Linked DNA regions of Coturnix japonica. The protein of the gene in region 2 interacts with the protein of the main gene of each other region in a biochemical or structural test. Links are inferred from orthologs where the notes say so. Each region holds a gene or a part of one and is shown on either strand. Other genes may lie near its edges.

Region 1 (5,656 bases), on a different chromosome or scaffold from region 2:
TGGAAAACTAATGTGGTGATCATCAGAAGTATACCTGGTAAAGCCGAGCGATGCACTCAGCAGTTCTGCATGTAATCACTCGTAAAAACAGCTTGGTTTTTTGTCCTATAGCCATAATCAAAGTGTTTATTCCTTTTATGTGAGCCCACACATCACTCTGAGCGTTCGTCTTGCAGAAGTTAAAGCAGCAGACTTGGTGTAGGGGTTGGTTGGTTTGTTCTTTAGCTGCTATTGTGTGATTGCTGTTATTTGTTTTGCTATGGAAATCTCCAAGAAGGCACATAGTGCCATGAGTAACCCGTGTGCAGCAGTGCTGCAGCAGCAGCCCCAGGCACAGGGCTCACATTGGCCTCAGCTGTTGTGCACAAGTGTAAGCAACAGGAGGTTTCCTTTTTAATGTTGTTCTTGTGGTACCTTTTAGTCTGGGACATTATTCTGCCCTTCCTTTCCTTGATGGTTTCTTGCTGTACTCTTTGGGAAAGAACTGCTGTGAGTTGAAGCTCTCTGCATTTCCCTTATGGAGACTGAGAAAAGCCAAGGTCAGTTATGTAACATGCAGAAGTAATTTTGCCTCTTCTACCCCTTATATTGTTTCAACACTTGCCTTGAAGGAGCCAAGTGGTTGCCTTTAAAAATGGTATCACATCATAAGTACTTACATAATAAATAAGGAACAAGGATAAAATGTGAGAGATGTTAGGGACCAACTGGCCTTCAGCAGCTGTGTGGTTCACCAGGGGTGAATCCAAAGCCTTAGCTTTGGGGGCTGGAAGTAATTTTCTTCTACCCAGCATGGTAGATCTTGAGGGCCTGTAAAAATACACCGTAGCTAAGTTGGCTAGAAATAGGAATGAATTTGGGATAGGAAAAACAAACCACCGTCTGATCCAGTCCCTGTTGAAAACAAATGTGGTTTCGTTTATGAAGAAAACATTGCGCACAGAGCACGAGGGAGAAAATCAAATGAAATGTTGCCTTCGCCCTCTAACTCACATGCCTTATTTTCCTCAATTTGCTGCTTGTTCAGAATTTCCAGATCTCATGATCTGCTCTTTCTCATTCAGTGTCTTCTCAGCTGAGAAGAGCAGTAAGAAATAAGCAACTAGAATTCCAGATTGCAGTGATGGTGCTGTTCAGGAATGCATTATTTCTTCATAATGCCTCATTTTTTTGTTAATGCAGTGATTTCATCATCTGGATTGCTCAGTCTTTGTGATTTAGTGGGAACTGAGGACAGTGTGATATGCTTGTGGTTTGTTCCTCAGTTTGATAGCAGTCTGACAAAAAAGCAATCTTGTTCTGTAGCCTGATTGAAGCAAGTTTTGTTCCTAAACTCATTTGTAAAGTAGTGTCTGTTGTGGCCAGTGATGTTGTTCACTTGCTCCTGAAGCAATGAAACACTAATGTGGGGTGATGCTCTGTATCTGCTCACATGGTTGAGTTCTGTGGGGAGAGGGGTGAGTTGGAGGCAACGACACAGACTAATTAAGGAGATAAACCAGCAACCTTCTGGAGATTTAGTGGCCAAGTAGTTGATATTCCATGCAGTGCATTTTGGAGCCCAAGTCCTTGAAAGGATCAGACACCAAATTCATCAAAACTAGAGCGAGGTGGGAGCTTCTGCTCCAGTTCGTCAGTGATCTTTGAGGCAGTGATTAATAACAGAGCGCTCGTGCACCGTTTGTGATGTTAGGAGCTATAGTAGCCTGTTGTAGGCTGTTTGTGTTATGTATGCCCTGGAAGAAGGCAGGTCCTGCAGCATCCTTCATGCAATGTGGAGCAGAGGGTTTTAAGTAAATGATAACTATTTTCCATCATTTCTGTTGAAAAACAGCCAGAACTGTGTCTCTCTTTAGTTACCTTCCCTTCTGCTGCTGCTACCTGTAAGTTGGCAATAGCAGTTCCTTGTCAGGCCCCAGTTCAGATGACAGTTCCAGTTCAGATGACAATCTTGTAAGTCTGAGGCCTCGTACATCTCTAAGATGTGAACTCTCTTTACGTTGTTTCAGGACCTGTTCTGTTGTGAGGGTATCGCCCTGTCAAAACTAATGGGTGTCATCTTGCAGATACGGATGTGTTATGTTGTACAGAGGTGACATTTACTGCATCCTTCCTTATATTCTGTTTATGGTGGTTTTCTTCCTGCAAAAGATGCCTCCCTTGAAATGTCACTGCCTGCTGTGGCTCTGTCTCATTGAAGAGCCACACAGTAGTTGAGTACAACTGGAGGTTCCTTGCCAGGGCTGGTCGGTGTGGCTCTTGGTTGCATGTTCTGTCTCAGATGGTGACCAGCAGCCAAATGCTGAGAGAAGCCATGAAAATGAGGCAGGCGTGGGAGAGTTCCCTTCTCTGACAGGTGAAATGGCTGTGTTTAATTGTTTATGGAATGGCTGTGTTTAAGTGTTTGCAGGTTTCCCTGTTGTTTGTTTAGGAGGAGGGGAAGAAGGAAACTTGCCTTCCATTTGATGTTTGGAAAGAAAAATATCTTGTCAATTTCAAACAATATGATCTTTAAAGACAATTTTATTGAAACAGGAGGCCATCTTAACAGGAGGATTCTCTTATAATTCTTTAACTTGTAAAGTAAATAATTAAGATATCTGCATAAAACTCAGCCAAAAGTGTTCAAAGGAAGCAGAAATCTCCATAACAAAGAAAAGGAAGGCCGTGTATTTGGAGGAAGGAAGGTCAAGCAACAAGTGGGCTGCAGCAGCAGCAGGGTGACAGAGCCCTGGAGAAGATGACTTAAAACAGGGAGGGTGAGACTCAGGGTGCACTGTGGTCCTGTTTTACACTGCAGGACTGTGCCTGCTGAGCCCCGTGTGTCAGTGCCATCGCTTAATAGGGTTTGTATTTGCTGTCTAACAGAGAACAGGTGTAAATGGGAATTGGAAAGCAACAGCAAGCCGCAGCTCCAAGGAAATGAATTTGGTTTTACTAAGCAGCATTAGCAAGTGGGTAATGGCACGGGATGTTAGCGGGACTCATTAGGTTGAACTAGTCATGGTCAGGAGTTAATTGTAGGTATACATTGTGTTGCCTCATTAGCGATGTTGTGGTAGCGGAGAGAACCACCTACGTGTTGCATCCTGTGTTAGTGGAAGCTCTTTGAGGACTCAGTGGTTTGCTTGAGCTCGAGCACGGTAAAGTGGGCAAGGCCTGTGTGCAATTCTAAAGGAAGTATAGGTTCTCAGCTGTACTGGAAATTGACACTTGCTGCTGGGCAAACCTCCAGAGGAAATCCTTTGGTGCTGGAGGTGGAAGGGAAGCACGTATGCTTTGCAGAGTGCAGCTGGGTGTGTGGGTTGTGTAGGTCCTACTGTGCCGGTCACTCCAGAAGTGCCCATGACGTCTGTGTGTGTTGGCTGAGCAGTGTTCTGATTCTCTGACACGTCCTGGCAGGCCTCACAGACACATTTAAACTGTTTTTTTCCCCTCTCTTCTTTAAGGCAAATACTTTTTCCCCCTGGGTGCCTGTGAGCAGGGAAGACTAAATAGACTGCAGTTCCGTCCTGGAGCAGGTGTGTGTTGCTTACACCTATATCATACCAACTGAGGGAGGTGAACCTGCAGTGTCCTCTTGTGTCACTGGTTTATTTCACTGCTTGGTTTGTGATATTTGTGCTTACTTGCTCAGATTCCCGTATTTTGTGCTGTGTTGTGCCTTTGATCTGCTGAGAAGATCTGCAGCATCAGCTCCAGGAATTACTATCTTGATTTTCTAACCAGCACTTAAGGTATTTCTGTGCAGAGGAAATGGCACCTTCACTCTTTTGCAGCTCTGCCCTACGTAGGCGTCCTTTTCAGTTGTATTGAACAGAATAGGAAGCTTCTAGAAATGAAGTTTGTCTGAAGCTCAAACAGCCATTTGCCCAGGCAGTGGTTTTTTTTATTAGTAATGCTACCAGGCCCTTGGGGAGCAGTTAGGAGAAAGACCAGCTGAAAGCTAAGCCCTGTGTGTGCTTAGGGCCATAGGATCACCAAGGTTAGAAAAGACCTCCAAGACCATCCAGTCCTACCATCTGCCTACCACTAGTGTTTTCCTGCTATACTGTGTCCCTTACAGGCTGAGGACTCAGGTGAGTGTCTGTTCACAGTGTTAACTTTGTACTCCTCAACATGCCATATTACCACTGTGGAGTGTTTGTTCTAGATTGGATGTTGAGTGTATATTTTGTAACAAAAATAACTCTTGAAGGAGGCACCTGCAGTGCCATTTGCCATCATTGAGTCTCTTACTGGTATCTGTAGGCCATGATTTGACACATTTTGACATGACTCCTGCAGATGTGATTCAGGCTGAAGCTTAAAGATGTTTGGTCATTATGGTGAATGTAGGCTTGTAGATTAAATGTTTGTATGTATTATTAATACACCCTCCCTATAGAAGGTGATGATGGTACCATCAACTAACGCAGTGAGTAGGTTTAGTTACAAAAGTAGGTGGCATCACAGCACCTTCTTATGTTGTTGCTTTCTGCTGGTTGCAAAGAAAACGAAGTAAGGAGAACAGGAATTTTTCTGTGCATGGGGCTTTTTCTGTGATGTGGAATTGTAGTTGTGTCTGAAAGTGCTTTGTATGTGAAATGTAGCACTCTGCTGTGTTACCAACAGTGCTTTGTATATGAGATGTAGCACTCTGCTGTGTTCGCTAATGCTTGAGTCTGATACTAGAGGAAAAAAAACCTGCTTGCAACTACTATGGGAAGGTGGATTTGGTATGGAAGTCAGGGTACGTGCACAGCGTGTGTTGAGTCCATTAGTGGGTATTTCCTTTAGATCATCCTTGATTGGGATAATCATAATTTGCAGACCAGCTAAGAGATGTTTCTTTCTGTATTGTGCTTGGAATTAGCAGATTCAGAGATCAGAGATGGACTGATCTCATTACTGCTCTGCTTCTCTGTGCTGCAGGCTGCAACCCGTCAGGATATGACCTACTGGCTTCAGGAACTTCAGCAGAAGAGGTGGGAATATTGTAACAACCTTGATGCAGCCAAAAGGGACAGTCGGACGTCTCCTACACCGAGTGACTTTTCCAAAGGTCTTGTTGCCAAAGACAGTCCCGGTAGGTGGGAAATCTGAGTGAAAATGATGTGTGTTTCAGTTTGATATCTGTTAATGGGTAATAAACAGTGTGGAGGAAAGGTGGAGGGGTAGTGTCAGGAAGTTCTTTGTTGTATCTTGTTCTTAAGTAACTATTTAACCTTTGCATGTGTTGGTGCTGCTGAAGTTACTTGGCATAAGTGTAATTTGATGTATGATTTTCTCTCTCTTTTGAAACCCCTTGATTTCTTTAAAAATAGATTTTACAGTGGTGTCAAACACAAAAAATGTAGCAGTGTGCTGTATGAATTGTTCTGTGCTTTGTCTTCACTGCTGTGACATTTCTGAATAGTCTGATTCCTGGATTGTTACACAAATGGCTTGTTTATCTGTTACCAATAAATAAGACTGCATTAAGAAATCCTGTTCTTTGCCAAGTTAAGCATATTAGTTAAGCTCCTTGAGGTTTAGATTCTGATTTGAGGTCAGACATACTTCTTCAACAAAGGTTGTGTTTTATTAATTTCAGTTTGCTCAAATAGTCAAAAGAAGGTTAAGATGCCTTTGTCCCCTCCCTTCTGCGCTCTCCCATGTTAGATCCCGTGAGACT
Region 2 (7,272 bases):
AGTGTGACTGACCGTAACAGGCCTTTTGCTGGCAAGAGATCAAAGAACGTGACAGTAACGATGCATACAGCTTCATTTGTTAAGGATTTCCTACAGGGATTTCAGATGAATGAATTCAGAGAAAATACTCCTGCAACTGATCAGATGCTTGAAGCCCACGGGATATAATAAAGTACCAGACTAGGGGGAAATAAAAGTAAAAGCAGACAAACAGACACTAGATTTCATGGGTGTCAAAGCTTTTGGCTTGCCTGGGCTGCAGTCAGTGAAGATAAATTGTCTTGGGCCGCATAGGTTGCTCCAAAAGTAACACCTCCTATTTATTTCCATAGAAATTACAGCTGATACAAAGAGCACAGTAACACTGTTTGTAATATTGGTGGGAAGGTTTCACTTCCACTGTCATACCACTAACATCCGCCTCTGATGTTATGGGTCAACATCATAGAACAGCCCTCATAAAATACGTGCTATTCTTAAGATATAAATGAAAAAAACAAAAACAAAAACACATTTTAGTTGTAAATATTTCTCTTAACATTTAAAAAGAAAAAGAACAAAGCCTTAAAACTGGTGGGATATTTGACGTTGTGCCTGTGAAACTGACACACCAGTCTGGTTCAATGGCAGTGGCTGTAATTCTTATGAACTACGTTGTGCCTGTGCCTTTTGTTCAGAGAAAGAAAAACAACCAATCCAGTTTCCAGCTCCTCTCTCCAGCACGCGGATCCTTAATGTGGGGTTTGTCACATGCCCATGGGTTGACATTTTAATAAGAACTATAAGTCAGATGTTTAGTTGTTTGTCACTGCTGCCGCATGGATCATCTTCCGGCCCACCGAGGAGCCAGAACCGCGGTTGTTTTTTAACTGAGCTGTAGGAGACGGAGCCGAACTCAGCCCCGAATGGGAGGAACGGGAAGGGGGAGGAACGACCTTGTCGGGGCGCGTCCGGGCTGAGTCAGCGGGCTGGAGTTCAGCAATGGGATTTGCGATCGTCACGTGGGATTTGTTGTGGGGAGGAGAAGTGGGTCGTGTCTTGGCATCAGAGGAGAGGAAAACACCAAGACTCTCTGATTTGTTACAGAATTTCAAGCTAGATGTTATCTCGTATACAGTTGCCTCCTCTCCTTTGTCCTTGAGGAACGCATCACTACGTCTCTACAGATGTGGGGATTTAGCAACTGCTATGTGGCAGGCAACTAGGAAGCAAAAAGGAGGCCAAATGTAGGTGTTACAGAGAAGCACTACGACATGAAGGCAGCCTTTTCGCCTGGCCTGAACAAAATCAGTGCCTCGCTTACTGAGTCACCCTTCTGAGATCCTCTGACACTACCAGCAACTATGGGGAAATGCTCCAATGTCTAATGACAGAGAGAAAGAGAGAAACAAGTCAGTGATGCTTCCTGTACTAACCTCGTGTATGTGAAATACTGAAGGCTGGGACACACTGATCCATGCCATTCCCACCGTGGGTTGCTGTACCCTTAGGAGAATCTGGCATATACTTGGAGGTCACAGCATCATGTGGAGATGTAACTACTTAAGCACTAAAACATCTGCCAGAGTTCTCTGGGAGGGGGTGGGCTGTTGGGGGATTGGAGGTAGAGTGGGGGGACACACCTGGACACATTTTAGCCCTCCAAAAATAGATGCCATTATTCAGGTGAGAAAAATCACATCCAACATGCCTGTTTATACCTTACACTATGAAGGCATTTTAAGGTGACAGGCTCTAGTACAAATACCTGATTTGTAAGTGTAGTTGAGATTTCTGTCTCATGCCCGTTTGTTTTCACTGGGCAAGATCACCTGCCAGTGTCAGACCATATCTGCTTCTAAGTGAATATACTTCCTCCATATCTCTCCTTCATGCATGATGAGAGATCACAGTCACCACGGCTTGGAGAGAGCATTACCTCTGAATTCAAGAAGCAGTGGGCTATAGAGTGTAAAGGTGGGTGGTGGGCAATATATGATAAACAGCTCTCTCCAGGGCAGAGAGCACAAACTAGCACCCTAAATCTGCTGTGGGGATTTGCAGTAGGTCCTTCCCAGTGTTGGGATAACTCCTTCCCTTCAGGCAAGACTTATGTGTATAAGCATATAGGGATAAAGAAACCATTAATGTCTGAAGTACGAATTTCTTGGAGCAGTCTAAAAGATGTGTATGAGTATTTCTAGAAAAGGACCAGGGCTTCTTCCTGATCCTGTTCTCCTGATATTATTTTTATTACTTACTATTTTGTCACGATGCCCTTACAGAGCATTGCAATGGAGCATCCATCTTTCGTCTTCCACCATAAGTGCTTCCAAGATTACATGATTCCCCATCCATTATATTTCCACAGATAGTACATACTCATCAATTATACTTGAGACAACTAACTTACACACACTTAACACAGGTAGAGATGGATGAGATTTCCAGTCTTCTATTCCATGGTCTCTTCTACTGTCTAGTGTCCTTTTAGCATCATGGCAGTCCAATTGACAGTCTTTTACTTCATCCAGTGGTCTTCCTCACTTGTCCTCTAGATGAACTTTCTTCACTGATGCATGCTCGATAACGCATATTGTAAGTAATTTATAGGTACTAAAATTGTAACATTTGCTCACTCAGCACTTGGCCATTATTTCTGGACATCTGCTCATCCTTGGATAGAGATAAGTTTGGCAACCTGTCTTTTAGTGATATATACCGGGGTGTTAACTTCTTTTTAATAATATATACTGGGTTGTAGAAGGATAGAGGGGAAATCCTTGACACCTAGAGAAGGAGACAATTTGGCCTCATGTGGAGGTCTCAGCTTTCATTATTGCGTTTCTTTTGCTGAGGGTCTCTTGTCAAAACAGAACAGCTTTACAACACGTTTTCCAGTCCGTAATACTACACGCACACTATATCAATCACAACCACGTACAGAAGAGACTCATTGGACGGGGACACCTCTGACGGTGGTGCGTGGGTAACCCCTGAGTCACGCACATTATTTTGGTGGCTGTGTTTTTGTGGATTTTTTGATCTTTCTTTTAGAATTGTTACCATTAGGTAACCCGAAAAGCACAGTAACCGAATGTAAACACAAAGACCCAGCACATCCCCCCCCCACACACACACACACGAGACAGTGCCCCCACCCCGCTGCAATGCCGACAGTGCCGGAAGGGGAGGGTATGTCGCTGTGACGTCCCGCAACAGCACAGTGCGGGGCTGCGCTGCGCTGCGCTGGGTTTGCGTGCGCTGCGCGGGCGTAGTAGGGTTTGCTGAGTGCCCGGTCATAGGTGACGGAGGGACGGTAGTGGCCGGCTCGGTTGTGTCGCATCATGAAGTTCCAGTACAAGGAAGACCACCCGTTCGAGTACAGGAAAAAAGAAGGGGAGAAAATCAGGAAGAAATACCCCGACAGAGTCCCTGTGAGTGTGCTGGACGAGCGCTGCCCTCGGGCTGGCTGTGCAAATGTCGCCATTCTTTGCTGTCCTTGTCGTTGCCGTCTGCTGCTTTGCTTCTTTTGCAAGGAACGGGATTGGGAAAGATGACTTTGGCGTGTCGGTATTAATTCCGGATTGCTTTCTCTTTAGTGCCACCGTATTTGTTGTTCTACGCCAAGGTCCGTGGGTGGGTGTGGGGGTCTTTTTCGGGCATCCGCAGTAATTCGACAGCAAGAACGCTGTTAATCTTATTATGGCAGCCTATGCGTGTGGGGCTGGAGGGTGGGGAAGGAGCTTACGACTTGCTCTGGGAAAATGGAGGAGAACAATGAATGTGTGAAACAGGCGTTCTCTGTAAGGAAAAAAAAAAAGGCCTAAATCGCTGTTATCAGATGTTTTGTTTTTATTTTATACCTTTTTCTTTTTGGAGCTTGCTTTTCAGTGTAGTCCAGCTCCGTTCTTTTCAGCTTTGTGTTTTGCATGAGAGTTAAAAAGAGATGGATGCTCAATAATAATTCCCAGTCTTACTTCCCTACTCTTTAATCACCCAAAAAGCATCATTTGGAAAACAAGATCATTTTCGAGCTGAACTTTCCTTTCTTGTCCTTAGGACTGTCTGGAATCTCAGTGGAAAACTCCTGGCTTTATAATTTGTGGCAATAATTGCAAAAAGAAATAGTAACACTAGGGTTTATTTTGTTTGTTTTGTAACACTGGAGAGTTCTGTCCTAGATTGGGGTGACCAGAGGTGCAGTGTGCAAAAGAACTGTTTCACCTGAGCTTTTCCCTGTAGGATGAGAGTAATTGAGCATGCAGTGTATGCAGGTCTGTCTTTTGAGATGACGGCCACAGCAGGCTCAGCTGGTCAGGAGAGTGGCAGGTAATGCAGCAGGTCATGATAGAAGTGACTGGAAGAACTATGTGGAGAGCCCAGCAACAGACCTGGTCTGGCAAGGAGTAAAAATGCCAAGACAGAGGGGCTTTAGTAGAGTGTAATGGACAAAAACAGGATCAAACTAAGTGAGCTGTGCTGCAGCTAAGGGGAAGTGAAAACACTGCTTGGAGAGGCCTGGTGTGGATTGCTGGGGAAGGCTTGTTGTCAGAGCTGCACAGAGTGCAACAGACGTATTTAATCACTTCTGTCACTGCCCTTCACGACAGTAGGATCCTTGACAGCAATGTCCCATTGGCTGCTGGCACTTCACTGTTGTGATATGTCTGCATTTTGCTGAAATTATAATGCTGGCCCAGTCCATTGTTACCACAGTCACCCAGCAGCAACAGACATCAAGATAATATATCTGCCCTTTGGATTGTCTTTGTAAGTTTGTCTCTCTGTGCAAAGTAACCTTTAGAAGAGATACCTTGCCTGGGTTATCAGGGAAACTTACTACAGTTGATTATCTAGGAAAACACCTCCATTTTTCCCTCTTTGCAAGAGGGAGATCTGTCTCAAACTTGATTATTTAATTTGAATCCTTTCTAGGGGTTTAGAATCCTCAGAGCTCACCTTGTCCTCATAAATCAAGGTACCCCCTATCTTCTTTTCCTTTATCTAATGACTAAGCTACATGCCATCCTTTTGAGTCAGCTTGGTCCTGTCACTGTTGCTACCTGACAGTTCTGCTTACCAATCTTCTAAATTGAAAGCAAAAACTAAAGGCTTTTTTTCTACTTCAGTTTATTTGATGCTACCATGTAGCGTTTCAGGGTAAGAAAATAGGCAAAGTACTGTTGCTGGTCAGTCTGAAGCTGTGTAGTGAGGTTGTGCAACTACCTTTCCTTCACAACACTTGTCAATTTTATCTTGTATGGAAATGTATGTCCTAACACAAACTTAGTGTGAAAGAGCTCAGTTGCCTAGTAGTTGAGGTTCTTGAACTAGCAAACTACGTTTGTGTTTTAGGAAGAAACCTAGAATTTTCAGGGCTTTTGGCTGCATTGGAGGCATCTAAATGGAGAAGAGTATACAGGTATCCAAGCCAGCATCTCTACTGTGTGACATGCTTTGTGGATACTTGAATCTGGAACGAGGAGTGTTTGGTTGGAAAAAGTGCCATGCCAAGTTAATACACAAAGCTTATCATGTCTTTTTCCTTTGGTGTACTGTTTCATTGATGTGACAACACCATTTTCCTTCCAAAGAAGGAAGGAAACACGAAGCACAACAGTCCAGCCTTTACTATTGCACAGCTGACACAGCTGCTGATTTTGGCTTCCCAGGGAGGTGGTTGAATCGCCATCCCTGGATGTGTTTAAGAGCCGTTTGGATGTGGTACTCAGGGATATGATTTAGCAGAGGGTTGTTAGAGTTAGGGTACTATGGTTAGGCTGCGGTTGGATGTGATGATCTTCAGGGTCTTTTCCAACCTGAGCAATTCTATGATTCTTAGAAATTAGTCTCACAGTGTCTCAGGGAAGGTCAAAATGGTTTCTGAAGAACAGTAAGCCACATAGATTGAATCATGTAATATATCTCTCTACTTGATCAAAAATACATACCAGGAAAAAAAACAAACCTACCAGTGGCTGCATTTTCTTTCCACATGCACACAGTATTTCCATGGAAACGTGTCACCAAGCTTTGGAAAGGTTTCCAAGCCTTTTCATATTCATGTCACTTGGGAATAGTTCCTATTTCAGAGATAGGAATTTTGCCTGGCTCTGGTAACAAAAAGAAATTGTGTGTAGCAGAAGATCTCTTTGACCTTAAAGCTACTGAACTTATGCTTTTCTATGTCATATAATGACTGTTGTAGCAGATCCAGAGGAGGGCCATATGATCAGAGGGCCTGAACACCTCTCTTGTGAGGACAGGATGAGAGATATGGGTCGCTTCAGCCTGGAGAAGAAAAGGCTCTTGGGGGACCTTTACAGTGGCCTACCAGTACCTGAAGGGGGCCTATGGGAAAGCTGGGGAGGGGCATTTTATAAGGATGTTGAACAACAGGATGAGGGAGGCTGGTTTTAAATTGAATAGGATAGATTTAAACTAGATGTTAGGAAGAAAATCTTTACTGTGAGGGTGGTGAGACACTGGAACAGGTCATTCTGCCCAGAGAGGTTGTGGATGCCCCCTCCCCGGAGGCTTTTAGGGCCAGGCTAGATGGAGCTTTGAGCAACCTGGTCTAGTAGGAGATGTTCCTGCCTATAGCAGGGAGGTTGGAACTAGGTTATCTTAAAGATCCCTTCCAACCCAAGCCATTCTGTGAAATAACCTTAAGGGATATGAATTTCAGAGTAGAAGATAACTACTGAAGAACTGTGAATTTGAAGAAAATAACCTTCTTCAGTAAGCTGTAACTTCTCCTTTAATTCTTTGCTTCATTCTAGATCACTGTGAGCGAATGTAAAAATTAGGATGTGGGACTACTGGGACTGGAGCTGATTTTGTGTCAGGCAGTTTGGAACTGTAACTTGGAAACAGCTCAATTGACTTGTGTTTGTGTAGTAGCCTCCTGGTAGCTCCTTCATACAAAATTAACCTGCCTTAAGACTATCAAGGTGACCTGATTTATTTTTTTTTCCCCTTGGCAATTACAGTTTATTTTTATGCTTATTCCAGTTTCCATTTTTAACTCATTGTGCTTACTGTTAAAGTCTTGAGCTCCCAGCACAGATATTGCCAGTGATTTGCTGTCTTCTGACCCATCTATTCTTTACTATTGTGTATTTCTTAGGGATTAAAGACATTTCTAAAGGCCTGGTAGCACCAGCTTTCTTAAAGGGTATTGTCTTCTTCAACTTCTGTTTCTTTTGTTCATTTCCTTTAATGATGCCCATAGCCTTTCTCTTTCTACCTCATCAGGTAATTGTGGAAAAAGCACCAAAAGCCAGAGTA
Region 3 (5,656 bases), on a different chromosome or scaffold from region 2:
TGACCTTTAATGGTCCCTTTCCACTCCCCTGCAGTGGACAGTGGCACCTATAGCTTGATCAGGTTGATTGGAGTCCCATCAAGCCTGACCTTTCGTGTCTCCAGGGATAGGGCATCCATCGCCTCTCTGGGCAACCTGTTTTGGTGCTTCAGTACCGTTATAATAAAAAACTTTTTCCTTATATGCAATCTAAGTCTCTCCTCTTTTAGTTTGAAATCAAGTTCTAACTTTGGGATATAATGTTGCTCAGCTGCGGCTGACTAAAATTCCTTTAGCATTTCAGGAGATGTTAGCCCTCTTACTCACATGTATCAGAAACCTCTAGGAAATACAAATGATACTAGTTGCGCACAAGGGAATGGCAGATAGTTTAAAGTCATAGTTAGCTGTTCTTTCTTGATTCTTGGATCTCTTTTCATAAACAGTATGAGAACATGATGCTTCAGCTTTAATACTTTATATTCTTTGGTAATTAAAATGAATATTGTATTTGTTTTTATTTAATCAAGGAGTTTACCTTTTTAATAACAAATCAGAAATTCAACATCAATATTTATGAACTGTAAAGTATGAATCATAATTTGTTCTAAGGAATCACTTTCATCTGTCATATAAACACACACTTACATAACTTTATAGGAGTATTCTGTTACTTTTTCAGGTCCAGTATGATCTGCTGTAGTATTAGCTAAATTTCATACTTGTGAGCAATACTGGAAGAATAATTCTGGAAGCAACCTGGTTTAATCTACAACATTGATTATTTTGAAATGTACACAGGCTCTGAAGAAATTTATATTGCTCTCCTTCAGTATCTCATTTCTAATTTAGAGAAAACAAGATCAGAATTTTTGTATGTATCCCTTTTGGGCACAATTCTGTTGGTACTGAGGCTGGCTTTTGTCATCCTCAGTCTTCCAGGTACTGGGTGACAGCTGTTCTCTATGCTGAAAGATAATAGTAAAACAAAGACATTTGTCACTCTAGGTTGGAAAATGAAATATTATTCCTTGAAAGAATCCAGATGCTCGATTTGGCTCAGGAACTTAAAAAATCAGCATTTTTAATAAACCAGAAGATCTTAAAATGGGCACTTATTAATTCACTTTTTACTTGTTCATATTGGTGGTCACCACCTTCTTTTTTTTTCTTTCTCCCCACTTGTAAAAAAAAATATAGAGAGAATTTAAGCTTCAGGAAAATGTATTTCCTTTCTGCTTTCAACTTTTCTGTGTGGATATTAGTCAAGCAAACATGTACATCAGCTGTTAACTCTGTTTTAATCTCAACTGCTTCTCTGTATTGGAGATGCTTCATTTTTATTGTTTATTAAGATAAAAAGCAGTATGTTCTCACTTGGTTTTCCATTGTACAGCATTACTGAAAGAAACACTTATCAATAAATACTTTAGACAATTCTCAAATACAATGCAAAAAAAAGAGAGAGAGAGAATATTAGAGGAAAATACTTTGGCTTCCTAATAACCATTTGGGAAGGGAAAAATATAGAAAGCAGTGAGATAAGTGTGAACTGGGGGGGAAAAAAAAAAAGAAAAAAAAGAGGAAAATCAAAGTTGCCACCAGGAGGAGCACTACTAAAATATTCCTATTTATTTACAGACACAGTCATCTGGTGCTGTATCTGTAAACTGTCCGTCTTTAGGAGTATCTTGAGTTTTTAAGGGTATGGTGCTACACAGAGTGTTTTAGTGTGCAGGTTAGAAATGAAATTTAAGAACTCTGAAATATTTACAAATTATAATGTGGGAAGCTATGATTCTTTTGGTATTTGACAGTTTATTCAAATCTGCTCTGTATCCTGGTTTCAGCGTACTGTGTTGTTAGCTAGATTCTGAATCCAAGTGAGATCTGTTTTTGTGTCTCTGGGCCAAGACATAACAGAACTTGTTGTAGGAGCTGGTCTATTGGTACTCTTACTAAATATGGTTCTCCATACCTACTTTGACTACCCATTTGTGAAACAGGCACTCATACAGTGTAGCTGCTCCTTGCAATTCCATTTGTACAACAGGCAAGTTGTGTGCCATGTCAGGGAATAACAGGAAGGGAAAAGAGCTAGTTCAGTGAGAAATAAAAAGGGCCAGAGCTGGAGAATTGGGTAACTGGGTTTCTTTCTTTCTGCACTCCTTACAGGTTGTTCTGTAGTTAAAATATGAAGCATATTTAGCAAAAGGAAAAATTAGTTTTCGGGTAAAATCTTGTTTTAATGTTCTGTGTAACAACAGGCATGTTACTTGTAATAGGCACATAATAATGTTACCTGATATTTTTATGATATGAGCATACTTTCCTAACCAGAGATATTTTGTATCAGGATGCAATTGAAGTTCATTTACAGTAGAGAGAATGTGTACATACATGACTGTTTTCAGTTGGATTGGGAAGCTTATAAAATCAGTGAACATAGTATTTACATGTAAAATTTCGAAATTTGGCATACAGTGTCTTGACAGCGGTGGGCATTATTTCTTGTTTAGTCAATGAGAGAAGCATTAAAAATGTACTCATGTAGAAAATGCTTGTATGCATTCATGAAGTGCTGTGCTGTTGTGCACATGGTTGAAATCAAACTGCAAAAATGAATGGCATTTCCCAACACTATTTTCAAATATTGATATTCCATATAAAATTAATAATTCATTAACTGGATGGTCATTATTTCTCTGTTTTACATTCCTGGCACATCGATTCAAAATCATAGAATCGCAGAATGGGTTAGAATGGACCCTTAAGATCATGTAGTTCCAACACCCTGTTATAGGCAGGGACACCTCCCTCTAGACCAGGTTGCTCACAGCCCCATCCAGCCTGGCCCTGAATGCTTCCAGAGAGTGGGCACTCACCACCTCACTGAGCAACCTGTTCCAGAGTCTCACCACCCTCACAGTAAAGAATTTCTTCTTAATATCTAGTCAAACTCTACCCTCATCCTGTTTAAAACCATTTCTCCTTGTCTTGTCTCTACATAGCCTTCTAATAGGTCCCTCCCCAGCTTTCCTGTAGGCCCCCTTCAAGTGCTGGAAGGCCACTATAATGTCCCTCCAGAGCCTTCTCTTCTCCAGGCTGAAGAGCCCCAGCTCTCTCAGCCTGTCTCCCTAGGCAAGGTGCTCCAGGCCTCTGATCATCTTCATGGCCCTCCTCTGCACCTGCTCCAACAGCTCCATGTTCCTCTCATGTTGGGTGCCCCAGAACTGGATGCAGTACTCCAAGTGGAGTCTCACAAGAGCAGAGCAGGGGGGCAGAATCACCTCTGTTGACCTGCTGGTCACCCTTCTCTTGATGCAACCCAGGATATGGTTGGCCTTCTGGGCTGCAAGCACACACTGACAGCTCATGTTAAATCTTCCATCAGCCATCACTGCCAGATCCATCTCCTTGGGATTGCTCCTATATTTGTGCTTGGGATTGCTCCTCTTCATGGTGGTCTCTCAAGACAGGTTGTTGTCAAGATACTAGATAAAAAACATATTATTTAGTTAAGGGTGATAGCCTTGGTGTGATGATCTGCTTCAAAACAACCAAACAAAACATGTTACTGATTTTTAGTCCCGGAGAAGTGTACCGAGTCCAGAAGATCAGTGAGATATTCAAAGCTGGGTATAAAAGTGATTGTGTGGGACATGTTTCTGGTAAATCAATAGCGCTATAAAGCTGGCATAGGATGAAGTTTTTTCTTTTACCGTTATAGGTTGCCTTTTATTTTCACATTCTTTTGGTAGTATTAAACCTGTTAGTCTAGCAGTATAGCTAGGTCATGTGAAGAGATTAAAAAACAATGAATAAGCATCTAAATTATTGCATCTTAACTTGGTTTTCTGAAATGCTCTGCTGCATTCTGACCAGTGTTTCTTTTAGGATGAAGATGAGCTGGACTCGCACACCATGGTGAAGACCAATTCAGAGAGTGCTAGTACCATGCGGGCCACAAGCACGATGAGTGAAGGCGCTCAGACAATGATTGAACACAACAGTACCATGCTAGAGTCAGACCTGGGGACCATGGTAATAAATAGCGACGATGACGAAGAGGAAGATGGAACCATGAAAAGTATGTTTTTTGTTTACTTTCCTTTTCTGTTAATAATGCATTGTGTTTTCTCATCTTCTGTGAGAATAGTCTACCATCAGTGTCCTTTAAAAGTCAAGTTCGGTGGTTAAAAGTCAGGGAGAGGGCTGTTTGTTTCTATAAACACACTTTGTTCCTTATTGGAGAAGAGCAGCTATAGTGGGAGATTCAAAGTACTACACTTGGCTTTAGTATTTTGATGAGTCTTTCTGGAGGACTCAAACAGTAGCCTCCTGTGAATTCTCCCTTCTACTACCTGTCACTTGCATTTTGCCTCCTGTCCTGCATCCATTTGAAGCAGCTCCAAGGAGCTATACTCAAATGGTGCGGTTGTGTGGGGAGGTGTTGTTTCAGTGTTAGTGTTCCTGAAAACTCATTGCAACGCACCGTGGATTCAGCAGTAAGTACTGCAGATCTTGCTGCAAAATTATTTTGTAAATTCATGGGCATTTGTTAAAATTTAATTTGCTAATGCATGATTTAAGGGAATGGCCAAAACATATTGAAATAAATTAAGAAGTCAAAATCAACTTCAGTGGTGTGAAAGATTATATAACAAAGGGGGGGGGAAAAGGATTTCAAATGATGAACTTGTCAGTTGGACTGAGATGTGTATAACGTGTTTGTTAGACAGCAAACATACGTGTTTACATTTGATCTGTTTGTTACTTGGCTGAAGACTTCCCACTGATTTTAAGTTAAATCATTAATTTGAAAGGGCAGCATCTATAGGTGATGCTGTAGCTTTAGTGCTTGATTCTATGAGGCACAATTCAATGCTTAACTCCAGGCAACTGTTTAAATAAATTCGTTTTATGATTTATATCAAACAAGATTGCATTTCTGTTTGTGTGCAAAAACCTGCTATAATTTGGTTGAAAAGATTGTTTGGAAGTGTAAATCAGGTGCGTTTTCCTTGTTGTTGAATGTACAGCAAATTGGGAGGAGAGGAAGATGTGATCACTTCTGCTTTTTTTCCCTCTTTGTTATTTTGTTGTTGTTGTTGCCTTGTTTTTTCCTTCAGTGTTTGTAGCAATAAAGCAATCGACTTGTTGATTAGTGTTTAATTTGAGCAGGGTGATTCACCTCATGCAAACAGTGCGCGCTTTAATTTGTTCTTATGCTGACACAGTATTTTACCTATTAAACTGTGAGGGTAATGGAGGGGTAGATCAAGTGATCTTAGACTAACACATTTCAGCAAGTTAAGGAAGTGAGTAGTGATGGTGAATATTTGGAAAGATTATAAGCAAATAAAATAATTCCCATGATGGGATTATTGTGGACCAGGGGACTTGTGTGGTTTCTGTGCAGCCTTTCAAATCACTTAAGTTTTGGTAACTATCCATGCCATTTTCTATGTGCTGAGGGGGAATAGTACGTTAGTATGCCAAACCAATTAAAGAAAAAATGCCCTTACATTTGCACTGCAATCTCTTATCCTTTTAGTTTCTTACATTGCTGAAAACTTAAAAAAAACAAAACAAAAACATGTTCATATTTTCAAATTGAATCACTTTTGGTAGTGATTCCTATTAAGAAGGGGGATTGCCTTTCTGTACCTTGGGG

The links. The genes of interacting proteins can lie anywhere in the genome.
Region 1: the proteins of GABARAPL1 (region 2) and TBC1D2B form a complex in vitro, tested with the Homo sapiens proteins (2 studies listed by BioGRID and IntAct). The link is inferred for Coturnix japonica from reciprocal best matches to the Homo sapiens genes GABARAPL1 and TBC1D2B.
Region 3: the proteins of GABARAPL1 (region 2) and STK3 form a complex in vitro, tested with the Homo sapiens proteins (2 studies listed by BioGRID and IntAct). The link is inferred for Coturnix japonica from reciprocal best matches to the Homo sapiens genes GABARAPL1 and STK3.

Annotation. Positions count from the first base shown.
Region 1 is NC_029525.1:3,045,556-3,051,211, forward strand, and holds part of TBC1D2B (TBC1 domain family member 2B), read left to right. Parts: intron 1-4,914; coding exon 4,915-5,068; intron 5,069-5,656. UniProt on the Homo sapiens protein: GTPase-activating protein that plays a role in the early steps of endocytosis.
Region 2 is NC_029516.1:70,389,008-70,396,279, reverse strand, and holds the start of GABARAPL1 (gamma-aminobutyric acid receptor-associated protein-like 1), read left to right. Parts: upstream 1-3,187; 5' UTR 3,188-3,326; coding exon 3,327-3,416; intron 3,417-7,239; coding exon 7,240-7,272. UniProt on the Homo sapiens protein: Ubiquitin-like modifier that increases cell-surface expression of kappa-type opioid receptor through facilitating anterograde intracellular trafficking of the receptor. Involved in formation of autophagosomal vacuoles.
Region 3 is NC_029517.1:115,653,452-115,659,107, reverse strand, and holds part of STK3 (serine/threonine-protein kinase 3), read left to right. Parts: intron 1-3,876; coding exon 3,877-4,069; intron 4,070-5,656. UniProt on the Homo sapiens protein: Stress-activated, pro-apoptotic kinase which, following caspase-cleavage, enters the nucleus and induces chromatin condensation followed by internucleosomal DNA fragmentation.